Mytilus edulis: one gene and its partners. The protein of the gene in region 1 purifies or fractionates together with the protein of each later gene. This does not show direct contact. Links are inferred from orthologs where the notes say so. Each region holds a gene or a part of one and is shown in the gene's direction. Other genes may lie near its edges.

The links.
Region 2: the proteins of prefoldin subunit 2-like (region 1) and prefoldin subunit 1-like purify together in Homo sapiens (affinity purification with mass spectrometry; 5 studies listed by BioGRID and IntAct, counting the BioPlex papers as one, with this or other methods). This does not show direct contact. The link is inferred for Mytilus edulis from reciprocal best matches to the Homo sapiens genes PFDN2 and PFDN1.
Region 3: the proteins of prefoldin subunit 2-like (region 1) and prefoldin subunit 4-like purify together in Homo sapiens (affinity purification with mass spectrometry; 6 studies listed by BioGRID and IntAct, counting the BioPlex papers as one, with this or other methods). This does not show direct contact. The link is inferred for Mytilus edulis from reciprocal best matches to the Homo sapiens genes PFDN2 and PFDN4.

What each region holds. Positions count from the first base shown.
Region 1 is NC_092348.1:41,978,579-41,986,663, reverse strand, and holds the start of prefoldin subunit 2-like, read left to right. Parts: upstream 1-4,974; 5' UTR 4,975-5,008; coding exon 5,009-5,133; intron 5,134-7,872; coding exon 7,873-7,996; intron 7,997-8,085. Other genes in the region: cylicin-1-like, read right to left, coding at 827-1,002, 2,806-2,887, 4,712-4,743. UniProt on the Homo sapiens protein: Binds specifically to cytosolic chaperonin (c-CPN) and transfers target proteins to it. Binds to nascent polypeptide chain and promotes folding in an environment in which there are many competing pathways for nonnative proteins.
Region 2 is NC_092352.1:51,877,552-51,885,364, forward strand, and holds the start of prefoldin subunit 1-like, read left to right. Parts: upstream 1-4,701; 5' UTR 4,702-4,772; coding exon 4,773-4,817; intron 4,818-7,813. Other genes in the region: uncharacterized protein, read right to left, coding at 328-412. UniProt on the Homo sapiens protein: Binds specifically to cytosolic chaperonin (c-CPN) and transfers target proteins to it. Binds to nascent polypeptide chain and promotes folding in an environment in which there are many competing pathways for nonnative proteins.
Region 3 is NC_092348.1:53,645,697-53,652,735, forward strand, and holds the start of prefoldin subunit 4-like, read left to right. Parts: upstream 1-3,994; 5' UTR 3,995-4,091; coding exon 4,092-4,115; intron 4,116-7,039. Other genes in the region: uncharacterized protein, read right to left, coding at 954-1,059, 1,420-1,588, 2,769-2,893, 3,392-3,453. UniProt on the Homo sapiens protein: Binds specifically to cytosolic chaperonin (c-CPN) and transfers target proteins to it. Binds to nascent polypeptide chain and promotes folding in an environment in which there are many competing pathways for nonnative proteins.

The sequences.
Region 1 (8,085 bases):
ATTACAAACTTAAATTTAAATCTGTTATACTGAAATATTGTACATTACAAACTTAAATTTAAATCTGTTATACTGAAATATTGTACATTACAAACTTAAATTTAGATCTGTTATACTGAAATATTGTACAATACAAACTTAAATTTAAATCTGTTATACTGAAATATTGTACATTACAAACTTAAATTGAAATCTGTTATACTGAAATATTGTACATTACAAACTTAATTTTAGATCTGATATACTGAAATATTGTACATTACAAACTTAACTTTAGATCTGATATACTGAAATATTGTACATTACAAACTTAAATTTAAATCTGTTATACCGAAATATTGTACATTACAAACTTAAATTTAGATCTGTTATACTGAAATATTGTACATTACAAACTTAAATTTAAATCTGTTATACTGAAATATTGTACATTACAAACTTAAATTTAGATGCAAAATATTCAGCAAAAATATGACAGCAGAGTCCAGTGAGTATCATTTCATTCCAAAATTTAATCGTTTTTTGATGAGAAAAAATAATGAAAAAAAGCATTGAAGTTGTTAAAGATATTTGTGCCGTTTAGAACTAGTTAATACATTTAATATTAAAAATCTTACTCTGTCAGTTTAGAACACAGCAGGATATATCTTCAATTATGTAATAATGTTCTTGTATTTCAATAAATTTAAAATCAGGTTTATTTTGATACTGAAGTTTATATATATTTCTGTCTATTTTTTAATCTTGTCTACTTCAGCTTCCTGTGTGACTGTGATCAGTGTTATATACATCTTTGTTCACCATTATTATACACCAAATATTTTACCTTAGTGGCCTATCTGTACTTGGCCATGATTCATCAAAATGTGAAGAACCAGATTCATCCTGGTTAGCTTTCGGTGTGAATGAGTTACCTCCCTTTAAAAAAAGTTCATCGTTATAACTTAGTCTTTCGTCTTCATTCCGTTTTCTGGTACTTGATCTAATTGGACTGATAGATGTCTAAAAGTAAAAATACAACACAAATTATATTACTTTGTATTAAACCAGTATCAACAATAACATATATATATGAGCTTTCATTTCAATTGGAACTTTTTCATATATAATAACAACCTGTACTTATAAATGTTAAACATGAAATTAAAAAAGGTAAAGGTTGCTGCAAAACTAAACCTTTTTTTCATTCTTCTGCAGCTGCATATATAATTTATATCTTTTCTAAAAAAATAACCATCCTTAAATGATATTTTTTGTAAACAACAGAATAAAGATACATTATAGTTCAAGTCAAGATTATTATTTTAAACTCTAAATTAATCCCACATATTTTGTTTGCCAAAATCCTTTGATTACTACTCCTTACAAGTTACATAAGAACACTATATCCTAATCAAAATGTATTATCTCAAAATGTTTATGTAAACAACTGAATATAAATTCATGCATCACTAAAAATATATAATTTCAATTCCTAGAAAAATAAGTGCTAATCATCAAATTGCATATTTTTCTTACTTATCATTAAGAGTATGAAAATGAGTTTTGTCTGTTCTTAATCAGGAATTTGGTCAACTTATGTCTAAACGCCGCAAAGGGCTATATCCTGCCTTAAGTGTCTGTTGTCATGGGAGACATTTCTTTCTGTAGACTAGCATCTGAAAATGCAGCTCAGTATGCCAGTCTTGTGCAAAGGTTTCATATTCAAATTATAATCATAAACATGTTCTGGTCCTGATATTCATGTAATATTTGCAACTGGATGTTAAAAACAACATGTATGTTCATCCATCCATCAATCGTGTTATATCTTTAATACATGTATGTCACTTTGTGATAAGGGTAGTGTGTAGTTGGTGGGAGATTTTTGCTTGTCTCTGTTTTATTCACATTTAGTTTTAGTCATGCAATCATATATCTTAGCCTGTTACAGACACATGACACATGCAACTTAATGAACCATGAGTTAACCTCAAATGGTTCACATTGTATTTTGTTTTTTATGTGTTGTTGGTTCATTGCCTTATTTCCAAATATGATATCCCAAAGTATTCATTCTTTAAGTGTTTATTACCCCTTTATATTACAAGTAAATACAAATATGATACACACTCATGCATCACTTACATGTAGTTGTACAAATACATGTAATAGAATTTATAAATTGTAAAAAGGTATACTAAATAAATATATATAATAATATACTGATCTACATGTAACAGACAATACTAAAGTTATGGAAAATTACACAATAGGACAAAAACTCTGAACTTAAATCCATTGCCCTGATTTAGGTCTTTCCCTGTAAAATATATAAAACCTAAATCACTTATAACATTACATATAAATGCTCTCTAACAAATGCAAATATTGATAAATTATTTACATAATATTATTAGAAAATCTTAAGTGCTTAATCATAAACATACTTATACATGTTATATGGAGGCAGACAAAAATCTCCAATCTTATACCCACTTATCTTCTGTTTAGGAAAAATTTATTCCATCTAATTATCATTTTTCCAAATTTATTGTAGTATTCTTTAATCTTATGTTTCAGTCTGCACGGTTCCACTAGTCATATGCCCCAGACTACGAAAATTTTGTTCGGACTAGTAAGTTTTTGCAAAACTTTGTTTGGCTCAATAAGAAAAATGTCAGAATATTGGTCTTCAGACCCCAGTAGTTGAAGTTTTTGGTGCAGACTGAAATTTTCATTAATCATTTTGGTCACACTTTTTGTTCATTAGACTTTTCTTCCTTTAAATATTAAAACTGAATACAAGTACATGATTATTCCTACCTTTTTCTGTTTTTCTGAGAGATTTTTCTTTTCTGATGGATGGTAATGTGCTTTAGGAGGTGGATCTACATAGAAAGGATCTCTGTATAATAAAAAAAATATAAAAGAACGGTAAGTACACTATCATTGATTAATGCATACTTCCTATTACAATTAATAACTGGCATGACTGGACTAAAATACCCCTATTTGTACAAGGTGTTACACCCACTCTTTATGTAGTATGGTTTAACAATAAAACAAATCTAGACCTGCCAATGGTAACTAATGCCCCTATAATATACTTTGTGAGTAAGAGTTAGCTATGAAGGCGAATCAAAATGTCCAAATTGACAAGAGTTGTCGTTTTTGTAGATGGTCTTCATTACTCCTATAATCATGATAATTAGCAAAATACATGTAGAACATAACGTCACAGTTCCCAAATAATGGCAAATACACCTTATCACTATTTTTAAGTCTTTTCTGATTCAGCCCTCAAAGTAGCCTTTGAAATGTAGTTGCCAAATGGTCACCAGACATGAAAATTTAGTGGCAAATGCAAAATTTCAGTGATAAGGCAATAATTTCAGAATGCTTGCATTTTTCTCTATCTAAACAACCAGGCTTGTGAAATAAGAGTATTAACATGATTAAGTTTCTGTTCAGTGATTTTTGCGTTCTAGTGTAGAAAATAGTTTATATAAATCAACTGTACATTAACTACATGATTTATTTAATTTTATATTCGTTGTACATGTTTTAAAACAGTCTGCAAGGTTAACCGGTAGTCTGAAGCTCCAGTCTAGTAAAAATCTCACTGGACTTGTGCAGTTTCTAAGCACTATTGATTTCCCCATTGGTCGGGGACATTGTTTCAATCCATTTACCATGTTTACTGACGAAATCGAGACACTGCTCTACCATGTGCTTTAATTTCAATAAACACAATCTAAAAATGCCAATGGTTTTCTTTTAAATGGCATGCAATTGTCAAAGTTGTAACTGAGTGTGGAAATATGAAGATAGATCATTAGATAGATCTGAGCCATTTTCAGTCAACGAAAATGATCTACAATTACCTGATGCAATAAAGCGCTGACAATGTCCAGCATAATTCTAAAAGGCACTTGAAATATTGTATTCATTTGTGTTACATGTCAAGCACTCAGACGGTTTTTAAAACTCAGCTCCGATCAAGGCAAAATTTCAGAAAATTTACCATTTGACAGATTTTCAATATTCTAAAAGCTTTAATACACCTTTATATCGCTAATCCTGGCTGACCCGGGGGCTTGAACTTTTGACGTCATACACAATCACTTTTCTATTGTGGCGTCAGACATTTCGTTCATGGTGTCAAAACTTTATGGGGAGTTGGGGACCTGAGTGATATCCTGTAATGGCTGACAAATAGCGATTAGGTGTATGGCGACAAGTTATGAATTTTTGGTCGCCAATCAGCTTTTAAAAAGTCACCCAGGCGACCACTTCAGTAGACTAAATTGAGGGCTGCCATTGACCATGTTGACCCCAGGATCTGACCCACTTGTACTTTTGTTGTCATACAACAATCACTTTTCCATTGTGGCGTCAGATATTTTCTATTATTTTTATGGGAACTTTTTTGATGTCCAGTGATTATGGTGGACAATTAGCATTAAGGTGTATTGCATTCATATTACAAAGATGGTAGAATAAATTCCTTAAAAAAAAAAATGAAAAACGTGACTTGTCAGGATACTTAAATCATTAACATTTATTTTTGACATTTTGAGAATCTTTAATATTTTCTCTGAAACTAAAAGTGACACACAAGACAAGTTTCAACAAGATTATAAAATGAAATATTTTAAAAACAGTAGTGTTGTGCTTGTGATGAGAGATGCTTTTAAAAGTTATTCAATGCAAAATGGTATGCCTAAACCTTTTTGGAGTTGGCCTCGGCTGAGAAATCATGACAAGTCGATTTCTAGTTTGAACATCTCTCTACTTCGCCGCCATCTGTAAACAAAGTGAGGATTTATAAAAATTCCAAATCTTATTGTAAAACGAACAATATGTTTTTGTAATTCTTTTCGCCAGTTCTTCATAGGTGTGATTAAAATTCTAAAATAATATTGAACCTGGCTTTTCAATACAAATTAATTAAAAAATACCAAATTCAATTCCAAATATTGGTTTATGTGTTCACTTTTCGTTTTCTTAGACGACGAGCATTAAAATGGCTGCGAAAGGAAAAGGCAAAACACAGGAGCAAATAGTTGCTGGTTTTCAGGAATTAAGACAACAACAAAGAGCTGTTGCTGGCAAAATATCAGAGCTTAATGGAGATTTAAAGGAACACGAGTTAGTTCTCCATAATTATTTCTATATAACTTGTATTTTAACCACGTGTTTAGATGAAAAGGGGGAGACAACTTTTTTTTAGAACTGCATGGAGATGATGTTTACACTTGGTAGTAACTGTCATCACAAAATCTTGTGTTATCAAGTTACTGATATCAAATGAAAACTAAGTTTCTTGTCCAAAGATCTAATAAAATCGATAACTCAAATAATCACAGCTCTCCTTTCGGTCATTGTTCCCCAGGTAACAGGTCTGTTCGGAAGCAAGTTAACTCGTACCATGTTAACTCGTACCAAAAAAGTGAACTCGTACCACTGGGAAGTCGTACCACTGCAAACTCGTACCATCAAAAATATATTAAAAATTACGAATATTTTATGGTATTTTTTTGTAAACTTTATAAAAATAATGTTGAATTACTTGAATTTTATACTGGATTTTAATAGACAAAAATACGAATAAAAAAGCTTTATTTTTTAAGCCCCAGCTTTAAGCTGATCTTTCAAAGTAGTTATAATCCAGAAGAAAGTAAAAGTAAAACATTGCTTTAACTGTACCTTAAGTTGAATATCTATATCCAAATTATCCAAATTAAATCAATTTATGCTGTAATCCATGATCACAAATCGAATGCTATGTTTACGATTGTTGAAAGCCATGTGCTTTTTGGCGGGAAAATTCGGGAACAGGAAACAGTTACATTTCATTGTAACTTGTTATTTATAAATAGTAAGAATTTCATTTTTGAAATCATTTTGATTAACTGCTAGGATTTTTTCATGAAGAATTAATTTGGAAGGATTAAAAAGTAAATTCAATAATTATCAGTAAAAGTTTTGAAAAAGAGTCAAAGGCGACAGCAAAGCAAATCTGCCACGGTATTTTCTATCTAATAGACAGGGACATGATTAGCTACAAATTAGTCATTGTACTTTCAAATTATATACATTTTACAGACCTCCTGAGAGGTATTGAGTGAAAGTAAATAATATACATCATCAAAACCCATTTAAATGCATTTAAGTTGTTACGAGTTAGCAGTGGTACGAGTTTGCATTGGTACGAGATTTTTTAAAGTGGTACGAGTTGACGTTGGTACGAGTTTACAATGGTACGGGATAACTGTAATTCGTCTGTTCGCCCTAATAACATGTTTGCTCTGCGTACGTACTATACAATCACAGTGACATGCGCCAGAATATACAATCATTGTAAATAGTGAACACCTGTTGAAAACACAAGATAGTCATTAATTTATTTTAATCTTTAATTAGTATGCATAAACATGATAAATATCATTAATAAAATTAACGGTACCAATTTTCTTGCACCAGATGCGCATTTCGACAATACATGTCTCTTCAGTGATGTTCTTGGCCAAAATATTTGAAATCCAAAGCTTATATAAAAGATGAAGAGCTATAATCCAAAAGGTCCAAAAATTATAGCTAAATCTGTGAAAGAAATCAGAGCTTTGCATGAGGGAGATACATTCCTTAATTGATAATAATTTCTATCATTTTGTAACAGCAAATTTTAATAACACAAAAAATCAGTATTTTCATGCCAGTACCGAAGTACTGGCTACTGGGCTGGTGATGCCCTCGAGGACTAATAGTCCACCAGCAGAGGTGAGGCAATACACTAAATAAAATATATTGTACAAAGAGAGTTTTAAAAAAACAAATTATAAGATAAATATATTATTGTTCTAAAACACAAGGAAAAGTAATCTCATAATACAACAGGGTAAACGTAATACTGGCTGTTATACATAATAAATGGTAAAATATGTAACATATTTTGTTCAAATACTTAAAATTATGCGAGTAGACAACTAACTCGAATGATTCAGCGCCCTCTATCGGTCAGTGTCCTTTCAATGTAGCGATCGATAGTGAGTCGGAATATAATGACTGGTTTATTCGGTTTAGGAGAAAAAATTAGAAAAAAATGAAAATCAGGGTGAATGGACCCTGGGCGAACAGGTATCATGGCGAATGTGAATCAGGGGGAACAGACCCTAATTCGTTCTCCACTGGCACTGCAGAGAAGAGAGTGAAATAATGACTTGATTATTTGGGTCACCTACAAATGTACATTTAAAGTAGTTAATACTTATAAGGGACTCACTAATTAGCGACAAGCAAACCTGCCAACATTTCAAAATGCCCATCAGGGTTTTACGTGCAAGAAGGAGGTCATAGTCCTACAAAAACTTTAAAGGCCTAAGGGTGGTCTGATATCTTGGTCTGCTTATTGTTTAGTGAGAATCCAGTATCCCGCTTCTCATTGCCATAATATCGCATGTAATTTCCCATGTCCTGTCAGACTATTTCCTGTTTTTATACTTGATTATTTAACTTGCATTTATCACGCTTGAAAAAATCAGCCAATCCTGTGTCATGCTTAGACCCGAATGAGACTCACTTAAAGGGGCCTTCAAATTTATTTTAATGTTGTTAATTTGCTCCTTTATGCTTTTTAAATGCTATACCAATGGTAAAAATGATTGTTTTGTGTGAAATTGTGGAGAAATTGCTATTTCAAAATTTCCAATTCAAAGCCTCCATGGGGGAAATCCCCTGCAAATAGTGACAGTTGGCAGGTGAATATATTCTGTGATTGAAGCACATTCTTCAAGTAATATATGTATGTTTAATACAATAATACAACAAAAATTTGATTAGAATTTATTCAATAAAATATTTAAATATTTATTAATATTTTTTTTTCAGAATAGTTATAGATACATTAAAAGAAACAGAATCTAGTAGAAAATGTTTTAGGATGGTAGGAGGTGTGTTAGTAGAACATACAGTAGAAGGTGTATTACCTGCATTAACTAATCATAAAGAACAGGTGAGTGTATACATATACATGTAGTGGGTACATTAAACTTTCTGTAAATCAGATACTTAACATGTATACATGTATCAGCAAAATACAGA
Region 2 (7,813 bases), on another chromosome or scaffold:
GCGATATTAAGTTATATTTTAATGGATTACATAGTAGCACACTTAAATGTTCTCCTTATAAAAACAAATATTATAGTTCCATAACACTAGTAAATGTTAGTACTACTGTACTTGTTTGTGTGTCAAATAGTGGGCAAAATTGTCACATTTATGTTTAAGGCAAGACCTTACTGAATTGAATCCCTCGAGAAAATGTGTGTTCTTCCTCATATGTCAATCAAGAATTTTCAAATGGAAGTCTTCTCATCCAATATTATGATAATGTTTAAAACTTGAAATAAAAATATAAAACAAATACAATACAAAAAAAACAAACAATATACGTACTGAAATCCTGTGCTACAGACTTTCTACTTTCAATGAGGCAAAGAAGGACCATGCATAAACCTACAAATGTAATCATATTCGACATGAATCTTTTAGTCCTACACTAGAATGTATATATTTTTAAAAGGAAGTTATAAAAACACTAATGAAAACATGACAATCAGTTAAGTCATGGGTCGATAACACTTAGATACATTTTTATGAGGTATAATAATCAAATACGATATGATAGAGTAATAAATATAATCATATCTATAAGATCGGCTAAACTTAAATATGTATACAAACTTTCAAAGAATGGGAGAATGTGATATTTGTCGAGCTTTAAAAGCAGGAAGAAATGTGAGGCTTGTCGAGCTTTAAAAGCAGGAAAAATGTAAGGCTTGTCCAGCGTCAAAAAAAGAAGAAAAGTGAGGATTGCCTAGCTTGAAACGCAGGAAGAAAATTGAGGCTTGTCAAGCTTTAAAACAAGGATGTATTGTGAGGTTTATGGTGGCACGGTAGTATTTGCATTCCAGAATTTAGGTTGCTCTTTTGTGTACCCGGCAACAGAGTCGACGCGGGGCCACTAAGCTAATCTGCCCGCTTTGCACCAGCCGTACTTTGAAAAAAAGCCTAGGGTGGGAATCGAACCCACGTACGCCAACTCCGTTGTCCTCCTTCCGTGTGTCTCTTAATGCATAAGAAATACAACCAATCAACAACAAAAAAAAGTCTCCGGCCTACTTAGGTAAATGTATCTAAACAGTGTGATTGGACAAATACAGTATCAACTGAACATACTTTCCCAAACTGAGGGATGAATCAGGTGTAGAAAAATATGAAATAATTTTACATACAGATGAAAATGAATTTTTGAGAATTTTTTTTAATTTTGTATTCACTGCACCATAAAATACCTAAAAGTACTAGTGGCCTTAGGTTTTTTAAAATAGCAAAAAAAGTAAACGGTCATGATACATTTTCAAATTCATTTCTGAATAGTAAAATGAAAGTACTTCAGTTAACTGTGAATGTAGAATTTTTTGCAGTGTTAGAAAGTGGTGAAAATTCTAAAAAGGCTATCATTATCCCTTATGGGCCAGGAAATACTACCGTGCCACCTTATCGAGCTTTAAAAGCAGGCAAAAATGTGAGGATTGTCGAGCTTTCGTTAAAATCTATTACGTTGTCACATACCGTGATGAGCGAATCGAACATATTGAGAAATATTAACACTATAAAATGGTGACAACGGAACGTCATCTTCTAAAAATGGATATTTCATCTCTTTTATCATAATCTTTGGTTTTATAAGATTCCCGTTAATGTTAATTTATAGAAATCAAGATCCAGGAAAGGGCAGTGCTCATTGGTACTACCGTAGTATTCGATTTATTTAAAGTTAGTCAATAGGATTAATATCTTTAGTGTATACATGTATACTGAAGTCGTCATTATTGAGAGCCAATATTATTTGTGTTTTTAATTATGTTTATTGTATTGTTTATTATATTTGTAAAATTCTTCTTCTTCTTTTTCTTCTTGTATCATAAATTATGTTGTTTTGTAGGGTCTTTGCTGATTTGAATCCATGAATTCTAACTCATAACAATACAGAAACACGTACGCAATAAGTGGTGCACAATAAGTCCCCATTGCAATGTCGATAACTTGACGAGATACAGAATCTCCATATTTATGTAATTGTTAATGTACAATTGTTATCCTCTTGTAGCACCATACGTGTGCCTAAGTTGAAATAAATTGTCTTGTCTTGCCTTGTCTTGTCTAAAGCGAACACAAATTTTATCTAGTAAAAATTCAAGGGCAGTTATAGTATCAAAGCCTGTCCAAATCGCATAGTCCTTTTGTTTATTGTTACTAAATTTTTATTTAATGTGTTTACTTAGAAATGTGTTTAGATATAAACACGATTATTTTTTTCAGGGAAGTCATATAGATGATCTCTGGAAAATAAAACTTACTTTAAGTAAAGAAAAAGAAAAACGATTTCTAGTTCACAACTTAAAACTTATGATCTTACATTCCACATTTTTACCTATCAAATGCAGATCTCGATAAATTGCAACATGCAACTAAAAATACATTAAATATATAGATTGTCAAGATATAAAAGTTAGGCATGCTGTTTGCGCATGTTGCGGTGGTGTCAGCGGCTTCAACTTGTTTTTCTTTTTTAATTTGTGATAAAGTAAGTTTTCTTTTTAAATGAAGACCAATAGCGATAAGCAAAGTGATATATTATTATAGTATGTTTTTGTATCAGCATTGGCATATTTTTATGGATATATTAAAGTTTCGCCCCCTGAACGATAGTTCATTGACTGCAAAAGTTTTGCATCGCATACCGCTGTAATACCACCAAATCATAGTACATCCGGTTGCATTCGAAAAAGGGTAGAAAAACATATTCCCTTGAATTTGACAGTTGAAGGTAATTCAACCTATATTTCATTGCAGTAAATAGTAAATGTCTGGGTCATCAACATATATTTTTGGTATTTCAAAGCACCATTATTTTTTTTATTGAGGTTTCTATAGAATATTTTGGAAAAGATTACGGTAATTTTTATTGGTTAAAACCATATAGGCAGGCATACGGCCTTCAACAATGAGCCCTTTTTACTTGGATGTCTTTCGACAATATTAATCAATATATGATGTTTGAACCGAATTAAAATTGCTATTTTGTTAATAAAAAAAATATTTTTAACTTTTGTCTTTAAACAGCTACTATAGGCCGTATGATTGCCTATAATTTCTTAAATTCACTTTATTTGCATTTTGATGGATAATTGTCTCATTTGGCAATCAGACTGCATCTCCTTATCTTCATATTGGACACGTTAAGCTGGTTCATAGCTATTGTCAGAGCATATATATGCCACAAAAGTGTAACCTACACTAATCTATAGCTAATCAGTAGACCAGTTGGTACTGTATTACCTAATTTTAAAAAGACCATATGGACATCAACTAGTCTAACGTTGGAGTATTGAAGAAAACAATTCACATTCATTGTTTCATGAATGTTATGTGCAAATGGGAACTTTTTATACGATATACTAAAAGGCATGGACATGCTGTTTTCATTGACACTGGTAATTTCATTTATACTTTAGTTTATGATATAAACACTATAAAGATGATTTTTAGATCATTTACCAACTGAAATAAATAAAGAGTTTCTACAAGTTTTAGCTTATATCTGGGAACAGCGGTATATCTGTTCCTGCTAATACGGATCTACTATAATAATTTATTACAATAAGAACAGTTACATTTAGTAGTGACATCTTAAGTGTATCTGTTATTCGAATCCGGGTCTGTTCGCGCCCATTCACGTTCGCACCCACTCATGTTCGCCCCCTTTCACTTTCGCACCCTACATGTTCGCACCCAAAGTCCGTTCGCACCCTACATGTTCGCGCCCAATTTTAATTGGTTTTGAGTTTAATAACTTTGTAATCATGTTTTGGCAAGTAGTATTCTTATAAGTATAATTGTTTTCGTTGTCTCAAAATAAAGTGAGACAGCATTTTTTTTTGGTGTTGAATAAATCTTAATCATGTTTTGGATAGTGTATGGTTAAAAAATAAAAAATATTCTTTTCTAAATAAAGTGGGATTCTGTCAACGTTTTATTTTGTGTTGAATAACTCTTAATCATTTTTTGGTTAGCGTATTAATTGCTATAACTTTGTTTCATTAACTTGTTTCAAAATGAAGTGAGATTCTGACTACGTTTTTTTTTTTTGTGTGTTGAATAAATTTTATCATGTTTTGGTTATAATAGTGTATTGTTATATTTTATTGTTTCATTGTTTCAGATCAAAGGGACCAAGCTGTTAAAAACAATTATCTTTTGTGTTTTTCATTTAAAATGATCTAAAATATTCAAATTTTTACTCAAAATGATCTAAAATATTCAAATTTTTACTCATACCAAGCTATAAATACATTCAGTATTTACACGAAAGCAATTAAAAACAATAATCATGATTTTCCAATTATTCAACTGGTATTTGAATTAAAATTGGGCGCGAACGTGTAGAGTGCGAACGGACCTTGGGTGCGAACGTGCGATGTGCGAACGTGTAGGGTGCGAAAGTATATTGGGCGCGAACGGACCTGATACCCTGTTATTCTAACCTTTTAAGGGATCATATGGCGTGGTTTGGGGGATGATCCCACGGTGTTTTTTTTTTTAATTCGTTACAACAAGGATTTGTATATTACTATACACTGAAATCCTTGGTTACAAGTGTTGAACTATTTTAACCATTTCGTTGCAGTGCGTTGTTGTAATGAATTGTTTAGGGTAGTAAGACTTACTTTCTATGGTTCGAGATCTTTCGAATATTGCAGTTAGTCATGCGTTTGTAATACACTTTATATTGATAACAAAACCATGCGTTCTTTACACATTGATCAAATAACAGAATGGCAGCAAAAGCAGGAATGCCCGTTGACATGGAGCTTAAAAAGGTTTTTAAAGAACTCTTTTAGTTATTCTAGATTGCTGTCACATAGTTTAAGAATAGATGTTTTTTCTTTTCAAAACTTTAAGATTATAGACAGAGCTGTTTTCGGTTATGTATCCAGGTGTAATGATAAGTCGTTATACTAAGGCTATTTTTTTCTTATTTTTTCTGTAGACTTAGCTTTATTTTTTTATAACCATGCATTGGCAAGCTTGATAACTCGTAATTGTTTGTCAGTAAATAAATGTACAATGATGTCCCATACGGAACCTTCTGACCTTGTTTGTTTACATTAAAATTTCAATAGCGTCAAAATCACGTGATGTCAATTCGTTATATCCAATCAAATTGCTCTACTGTCAATTAGCGGATTTTTCAGTCTACGGCAAATTACGTTATTTCTTTCTGGGATATTGCTTCAAAATAGTTTGCAATAGTTCTGGGTTTTATTCAACAGGAAAACTCTTTTTTTTGCCATCTCTTTTGACATCAAGGGAATTTTGTATGAATATTTACCTACAGTCATGATGGTCAGAATATCTATCTTTTGATAATGAATAAAAAGAAAATTCTATGAAAAATAAATGTAAATTGTTTCTTATTAACCAACTCTATATGCCTGTTCAAAATTATGGCATTGACATCGTTTTTTCATATAGTTTTCCTTTCATTTTGGTTGGGCTTTTTTCGCGGGAAAATCGAGAAAGAGGTAAGGAGCATGTCATTTTTAAAATCCTAAAAATACGATTTGCTTGACCTGTATTGCCTGCCACAGGATTGATGACGCTGAATGGAATGTACACAAAGCAATGGAGGCCGGAAATGGGATTTTGTGAAGTTCTAGAATGTTTTTAAATATTCGGAAGTTGGGATTGAAACGGGCATTAGAAAATTGGCATTTTTTGGCAATAATTGAAAACAACAATGAAAACTTACCTTTAAAAATGTTTTTTTATTCAAAAGTGCAGAAAAAAACGTATTTTGCACTGTTTTTCTACGCCAGAAGTACCGTAGTGACATCATTGCGGAGTTTCCCTGTGTGTTAAGTTCAAACACAAATACCTAACGAACTGACAAGATGAACGATTTTAGACTACGGTAGGATAATCTTCACATAGTTTAAGGTTCATCATAACAAACGAACAAATATGGCTGTATTTACATGCCAAAAATTACTCTGAGTACAGACTTACCTGTGAAGTTGGAAAAGTTTGCCTGGCATCCACTAGATATAAAAAAAGTTAAATGCATTTTGTGTTTCAGAAAGATAAAATCTCTTGGATTTTGATGGGCATTTTTTTTCCTTCATGCAAAAGGTGTGAAAATCAACTAAGTTGTGGTATAACTATGAGATGCTTCCTCAGGTAAAATAACCGGTTTGTATTGTTTTGATTGTCATTAATTGACATGGACAAGAGGTATCCAGAGGCGGATTTAGGGGGGGGGGGGGGGCAGGGGGCACAGGCCCCTACTTTTGAGAAAAAAATTTGGTTGATTATATAGGGAATCACTGAAGCGTGACGGGAGCGGGCCCCCTCTTAGGCAGCCAGCGGGCCCCCACTTATGAAAATTTCTAGATCCGCCACTGGTATCTTCATAACTTTAGGTGAGTTAAAGAGTTTATCTGAGTCAGTGAGTGGACAGTATCAAAGTAAGGCCAAAATAATTTAATAGTGTGTGTCCGGTTTCCCGACCCTACCTCCGTTTTTGATGCTGACCCTAAACTTTTTATTGACAAAAACAATTTTTTTTATTAAAAATCCGGATTATTCGGTCTGTCTGGATCCTACTTTTCATTTAGAAAACTACAGATCTTCAAAATGTTTGATAGCTTGGACCAATATGGACAAGTAAAGCGTTTCAAGAACCAAGATTTTAAATAAACAAGCATGGCTTTTCCGTAAACCGTGCTGCGTATTAGCTGTCAAATATGCGAAATGTGATCACATGGTTACAAAATATAATGATATTAATTCCGGATAATTACGATATGATGAATCTTTTTGAAGAACACCATGATGGACCTATAGACGAAAAAAATACGAAGTTGGCGCATTTTGCTCAACTTCTTTGCACAGGTACAAGACGACCAACAGTCAGAATCGTTTCAGGATGGACAGACTGTATCTAATTCTACCGGTTATTAAATTGACAAATAATTTATTAAAGAGTAAAATGAGATCAATTTACTGCTAAAGTCAATCCAGCTTTTGTTGTAAAAAATTGTTCTCAGGACGCAACATAAACGGATGTTAATACTTTTGAGCATTTGACTGTTTGAGTTAATGACGGCAAGGGGGCAGACAATGTGTAACGAAAAATAGAAAGCTTTCCCCAGTAGGCAGACATGGTGTATGATTCATGTTCTGACATTTATAAATGAATCTGCCCCGGCACCATGTCTACTTTTATTCTTTAATATTTCTCTGGCTGGTCCCACAACAGTTTATACTAGAGAAGGAAAAAAAATCATGTCCTATTAATCTACAATTTTTTCCATAGATTTAATAAGGCAAATATTTCGCATTCTCACTCTTCTCAAAATTTTGAATTTTAATATTGTCAGAACCCCACTCTGCAAGATTAAATTCTGTTAAACATCAAAACACATCTATATAGAGAGGTTGCAAGGGTATTACCCCTCGAAAAATCATTAAACCGCTGCTTAGCATCAATTTGCAGTGTTTTTACAACTTTAAAAGAGGGGTAGGAATCTGTTCCCACGTGTATACCCTGTGTGTCATTTACATTGTTAGCTTCAACGAGGCCAAACATACACAGCTCGGGTGGATTTTGCTTTTTCCACCGGCCCACGTGGACAGCCCACCCGTGCCCACTCCAGCTATAATCTCATTTTTAGTAAAAATATTGATTACAAATGCTTATCTGCTTTTTTTCAATTGATTGAACTTGCAGGTCTTTTGATTCAACAAAAGAAATTACATGCCCACTTCTATGGGTGGGCAGAGTTGACAAACTAGAAATTTTGCCCACCCTGTG
Region 3 (7,039 bases), about 12 Mb from region 1:
AGAAAATGTCCATATATAGCTTTCCCAATGGCGTCATGGTGTTCTTTGACTGTTAATGCATGGAGTCTTTTCGATTAGGGCTGAATGAAAAGGAGTAGGTCCAGTAAGACCCCTTTTTGGCCCCAAAATATAGCAGTTTTACAAAATTATTAAAATGTAACTTTTAGTTATTTATTGGACAGAAGAATGCTTCTGCTACATAAATATGGACTGTTTTTGACAATACAATGCACATATATCGGGTAGTAACACCAGTAAGTCATGCTAAATTACTGAAACCTCCACAATTCTAGCATTTTAGTTAAATTTTAGACGGTTTCCGTGTAAAACGAAAGTGGCCGCATTCGTGTTCATCCTTAATATTGAAATGTAAGTTGTATTTGATGATAATACATAACATATATAAAGGTTGTGGATGAACACGGATGCGGCCACTTTTGTTTTTGACAAAAACCATCTGAAAAGTGACATTTTTCGGCATATTTGGAAGATTTTTCATATTTGAGCTTGAATCAGATCGTTTTTAATGACTAAATCAGTTAAAATCTTTCACATACACTAATTGAATCAAACGAAATAGACACTTAAGTGTTTAAAAAGTGGTCAAAATCTTTCGCCAGATAAACCTGAAATTTGAGGCCAATATCGGTCCTTACCAGACCTACTCCTTTAGTCTTTGAAACTATTGGCTGTGAATAATAGCTTTCGATAACTGCAAATAATATAAAATCGGTACTTTGTTTCTTGTTTTTGATAGTATTGGAGTTTGGAGAAAAATATATGCTTCGTTGACCGTTAAAAACCAATGCATTATATGTTACCGGTGCAAAAATTTATCTCGAAACTAAAAAAAAATGAAATATACATCTTGAACAAATAATAAAATTGAACCACCGATTTGTGAAAAATGTTATTTTATTATCACACGCGTGTCTTTTGCTGTAAAATATTACCTCTTGTTGTCGCTGAAGTTCTTTGTAAATATATGTATGTGTTCTCAGCAGTTTGCTCATTTCATCGACCTTGACATAGTATTCACTGGTTTTTATTTGATCAAATCTGAAAAATGTATAGAATTCCACTGTTACGATTTATTAGCTGCTTGTCTGTAAAGCTTTAAGTAAGTGTATTAACACAAGTATATTGACACCATTACTTTATATTTCGGAGACACGCAAGCCTTCATCACTTTACGTTTTGAATACATAAAAGCTACCAATATGGTGTACTGTATAGTTTGGATATACGCTAGTCTTTTGCCAGCAGGCCGATCGTTGATAAAAAGTTATCGAGTTTGTTTTGACTTTAAGGAAAGAGCATTTTACAAATCGATGCTTTTCGTGTTAAGGAATCGCTTTTTGACATGAAAATGTACAGCAAAACAAAATACACAATCTATTTTAAAATCAAACAACTTACGTTGGAATTGGAAGAATGCTGTCAGATGATGAAACCAGTTTGACGATTTTGTTCTGGATTCTTTCAGTAAATGACTTCTTATAACTCTCGCAAGTTGTTTCGTGTGCTCCAACAACACCCAACACCATTCCAGTCAGTAGATTAAACAACTTGTTTATTTCAGGAAATTCTGGGTGAAAAAAAGAAAATAATCTACGTCACTCTCAAGTGAATGTGCTAGCAAATTTAATATCTAAAATATAATTGCAAGTTATGTTTAACCGTTTCTTGTGGCTTTCTGATTTTTTCATATCAAATCATAACAAAAAACTTATCATTTAAGATCGTAGAACAATAAAGAAACAACGAACACTGCAGAACGGTGTTATGTACTCTATTGGGTTCACAGGCGTTGAAGTTCATGTCTAAGAAAGATTCTCCAAGTTTTGTAATACATGTATGTTATTTATGTCGAAATATATATTATTCGCCTATCTTCATATAGTCTTTTTTTTAACAACATAATAATATTTATTCATCTAATCTTGCTTGTTACAAATTTCACCAAGAGTCCAAGCTTCTCTTGATTTGCCCTGTTAAAGGATGTATAGTTGTCTTATGCAGAGATTTATCAATGCTAAAAATTCTTTCTAATTAACAATAACATTGGACATCTTGACTTATATGCATCTATTCTTTTATTAAATTCATTTTCAAAAATACTAAAGACATCAACAGTTTTTGTTCTCTGCTCGGATACATAGTATGACTTATAAATAGAAAAACTTAATACTGTTAGTATATAATTCAAAAATAATATTTACTTTCTGTAATTTTATATCCAAATACCAGATGTCGCAATTTAATATCAAAATCTATTTTACTTCTTTTAAAGAGTTCATAGATTTTTTGCCAAAATTTATTCAAATATCTACACCTCAGAAAATAGTGAGCATAATCTTCTTCTTGCTTACAAAAATTACACTTATCTGTCTTAGTTACTTTCCACTGCAATAACAGTTTTTTAGTTGGAACAATATAATGTAATAATTTCCATCTAAATATTTTTAATTTATTTTCAGTCATATATTCAAAAATAAATTTGTGCAATGTATTCATATTAAGAGTTTCTTGTATTGGTAGGATTCTAAGCCATCTGTTTATCCCTATTGACGACTCTAGTTTTATACTTATCAAAGAGTTATATAACATTTTATTTGTTAATGATGTAGTCTGGATTAAATTATTTTTCCATATGATTTTATTTCTCTGAATATTAACTGTAGTTTTGACAGAATTCTCTTTTTGGACAACTTGAATCCATTCTGCTGGTATAGATTTTTTTAATTTTAATCTTCATATAGTCTTACCCATATTTTGTCTGTATGCCATCAGTTTCTTCGTGATGCTGTGTATTTGTTGATCGGGGAAATCTGCAGTTTCCGAATTTAAGTTAACCTCAAGGGTTTCGCTAATTGTAGCGAATACGTCAATTCTGGAGGAAAAAAAACAATTCTTGACATCAGTTAATCTAATGAAGTTCAACTTACTTGCTGTATGCGTAAATGTGTCCTAATCTAAATATCAGTACAACACTATTAAATCTGCAAATTTACTAAAGCAAATGTTTGTTCTATCTTCGTCGGGAACACATGCTACTGGGATATTGTGACAACACCGTCTGCATTGTAGCTAGCACTCTAGACTATTCGGCCACCTAGACTGAATTAAGAGTTTAGCTTTCGGTGGCCTAGTGTTACCTATTCATTTCATTATAATCTAGAGTTGTTACACAGTACATGATATTTTATGCATTTAGATGAATTTGTTGCTTATTATTTAAAACGTGAACTATATCTTAAAGGATCGTAGTTGTAGTCACAGAAATAAGTATTTTGATATGGAACTTTAAAAAGGGATTTAGCGTTGATAGAGTGACAACGCAATTAAGTTATACATAATTGTGAAACATTTTCAATAAAATATAACTCACGTTCTGTGTGCAACAGAAGTAATTCTGTAAATATCTGGAAAAAAGACACAATCCATTCTCATTTCTTCGATTCCTTTTGAAAAGACTGCTTCTCCGAAATTTCTTGCTTGACTTTCCTTCGTAGTGAGGGAAAGATAGCCCGTATGATGGAAAGGGTAACGTCATAAACAGGACGTCTTCTTGTTGGACGTTGGAACAAAGGAAGAACGTCACAGATAAAGCGAATTTTGGTTGGTTGGTGGACAATAATATAAAATGCTGTGACTCTTTATAGCGGAATTTACGTAATTATATTTTGGAATTTTGTTGGTTTTTTTTTTCTTCTAAACATATTCAAATTTATGATTTTTTTTTTGCCATTGAATTTAATTTATAGTTGAACAACATGTTGCGTTTTCAGTATACGGATATGGATAGTAAACTGCACATTGCCAGACTTGAAACAAAGAAATAGTGATGGCAACGTTAATAAAGTAATGCAAATAGACAGGAAATAATAAAAAGTAAATTAAAAACATTGATTTACAAAATTTTAATCTGCTAACCGAGACCCTGTGGTCTGAGTTGCCATTATAGACAGTCCGGTATGACTATATAGAAGGTCCAAAAAGTTTTGGTCCGAGTTTACCATGCAAACACACATATAGTTTTACACGTTTCTCTCCCCCGTACCCTTTTTACTCTACATTCTCAACTCGTCATGGCAAGCCCAAACAAACCCAAGGTATTTTATCAATATTGAATAAGGACATATACAAACCATTGTTTTTCTATGTCTCTGGTAACAACAGTAGTTTTAATTAATGCATCGTCCTATCTGATTTGTTAGTTTTCATCATCCAGGTTCATAATCGCTTATTTTTTACATATAAATTTTGAGTGAATTATTTTCATTTGCATTTCAATTCACAGACGAGTGATGTTGTATTGTAACGTGCACGTTAGTTTTGTAAACAAAGCACTCTGCAATATAATATATCCCCTTTGAAGTTATAGGCTAGCAACTTTCAATGCCATGATGCCTGTCAGTGCCATGCTTCTGGTGAATTTTATTCTTGAAATAAATATTTTCTGTCCCAATTTTTATGGATAAACATATGATGAATTTTTGTCTTGTCATTAAATATAATGTTAAACCATAGTAGGTAAAAGTTTAATAAATCTAACTTTTTTTTGAAAATCATGGATGATTCCAGCGGGATTTGACCCCTATATCTTGAGATCTAAAGGCAGCACTCTAACCAATTGAGCCAAAGAAGATCTTCCCTAACTCAACTAGTTAGAATACCACTATATCTCCAGGTCTACAACACTCTTCCCACTTTTCTTTTTTCGGGCTGCGTACCATCCATCCATCCGACCAACTACTGTACAACCTCAAGACTTCTACTTGGAAATCCTCTGGCCAGTTCCCTAGATGCCACCTAGAATTGCCATGGTTATCCTATGACCGGCTGGTCAAACCTCATGACCAATTCTAACATCTCACTGCCAGGCCATATTCTATATACAATTTTTGTACCAGTAGCAGATGCTCCTAGCGCCTGTTGTGAAAATCCATGGATGGCACCAGTGGGATTCGACCCCTCTATCTCAGGATCTAAAGTCAGCGCTCTAACCAATTGATTGAGCCAAAGAAGGTCTTCCTTAACTAAACTAGCAGACTATCTTAATATCTCCAGGTCTACAACATAACGTAACAATGATAACATGAACCAGGGGTCTCCATGGCCTGTTTAACGATGGCGCCCCGCCATCGTTCAAATGTCTTGCGCCATTGTCAAATGACTCGCGCCATCGTTAAATTGTTTTGCGCTATCGTTCAAAACTTCATCGTTTTTTTGTAGCCCGACGCCATTTTTTTATCAATTATAATCAAATGCATGTAATTGCATTACCCTTAGGCTTTTTATGTTATAATCCAATACAGTTCTAACGCCTGAGGGATATCCGGATTAAGATCGCTAATCACTTTGTACCTGAGCTTGTACAGGTAGATCAACAAACCAGACAGGAGAATACTATCTGAGGATAGACGATCCATTTGTCGAATTAATCAACTAAGTTTCAGCAAATGATTATGATAATTTAGATTAAATAAATAAATTAATAATCCAGTTACAAAGAAAACAGTTTAACAAGTCGAACACGTGCTTTATTATGACTTACGCAATCAGCATCCCCCTTTTTAAGAAGTACAAAATAAGATGCAAAACAGTAAATATTATTTCATCGCAAATAACTCTAGTACTGCTGTAACGATAATTTAGAATTACTTTAAAAGTTTAAAAGTAAAAACTTAAATATTTCCTGTAAAGAAATATCGTATCGTAATTCCGAATTCATTTCGTATATTACAATCAAATTGATACATCTGCGTTTCCAGTTTCATTTCAGACTCGAAAGATGCATGTTGCACAGCATCAATTTGCCAGATAAAGTCATTAAAAACCTTTTCATTTGTAAACGTTTGCTTTACAAATCTCTTTAACGTTTTACATAATCGTTTTGTTGTTGCTGCAAATCAGCCATACCGGTAATGGGTTCTGAATTTGACTGTCCATGAAAAATAAGCTCCACATCATATGATTTTTAACCCCCATAACAATTACCAAAAATACAAGAATTCTACATGGGGCCCTTCATGACAGCTTTTGGTCATTCTCAACTTAAGGGGACCATGACGACTTGGCATTTGAATGGTTAAAAACGGCAATAAATGAAAATATTGATAATGTACTTCTAATTCTATAATGAAAATTCAAATAAATATAATTTAAATAAGCAATGAATTAGCATGTTCACCATTCCTTGTATGGAGGGATAAAATATTTCCGATCGCGCTACACTGTACAGCAGAGACACGGTTTGTTATGGTTAAAGTTCCTCCATCGTTCAATTTTCATCCATGGAGATCCCTGATGAACAATATATAACACAAGGTTACTATAGACACACATGTTATTGTTACATTCATAATAGTCCAAATCCTGTAATTGACCCTGTAATAAGAGATCACTTCTTTAGTTGTCTCCCTTATGAGGGACATTCTTTTTTTTTTACAATAGAGAGCTAACAGAAAGAGCAAATTTACCTGTGTGTAATGTGAGTAATCTTTTAGGTTTTCAAATCTTTTAAATACATTAATTTGTTGTTACATGTATATGTCGTGTACAAGTTGCGATTTTGTACAGGTTATAACGTGTACGAAAATATTGTACATGTTATAACTTGTATAATGCAAAAATACAAGTTATAACATGTACAAAAATACCTCGTACATGTTATAACCTGTACAAAATATTGCTTAAAAATGGTTTTAACTTGTACAAATTTGAAAACTAAAAATATGCTTCTATTATTGCAACAGATGTTATTAATCTCAATATGTGCAAATGTTTGCACCTGTCCTAAGTCAGGAATCTGATGTACAGTAGTTGTCGTTTGTTTATGTAATTTATACGGGTTTTTTGTTTCTCGTTTTTTTTTTATATAGATTAGACCGTTGGTTTGGCTGTTTAAATGGTTTTACACTAGTAATTTTGGGGCCCTTTATAACTTGTTGTTTGGTGTGAGCCAAGGCTCTGTGTTGAAGGTCGTACATTGACCTATAATGATTTACTTTTTTAAATTGTTGTTTGGATGGAG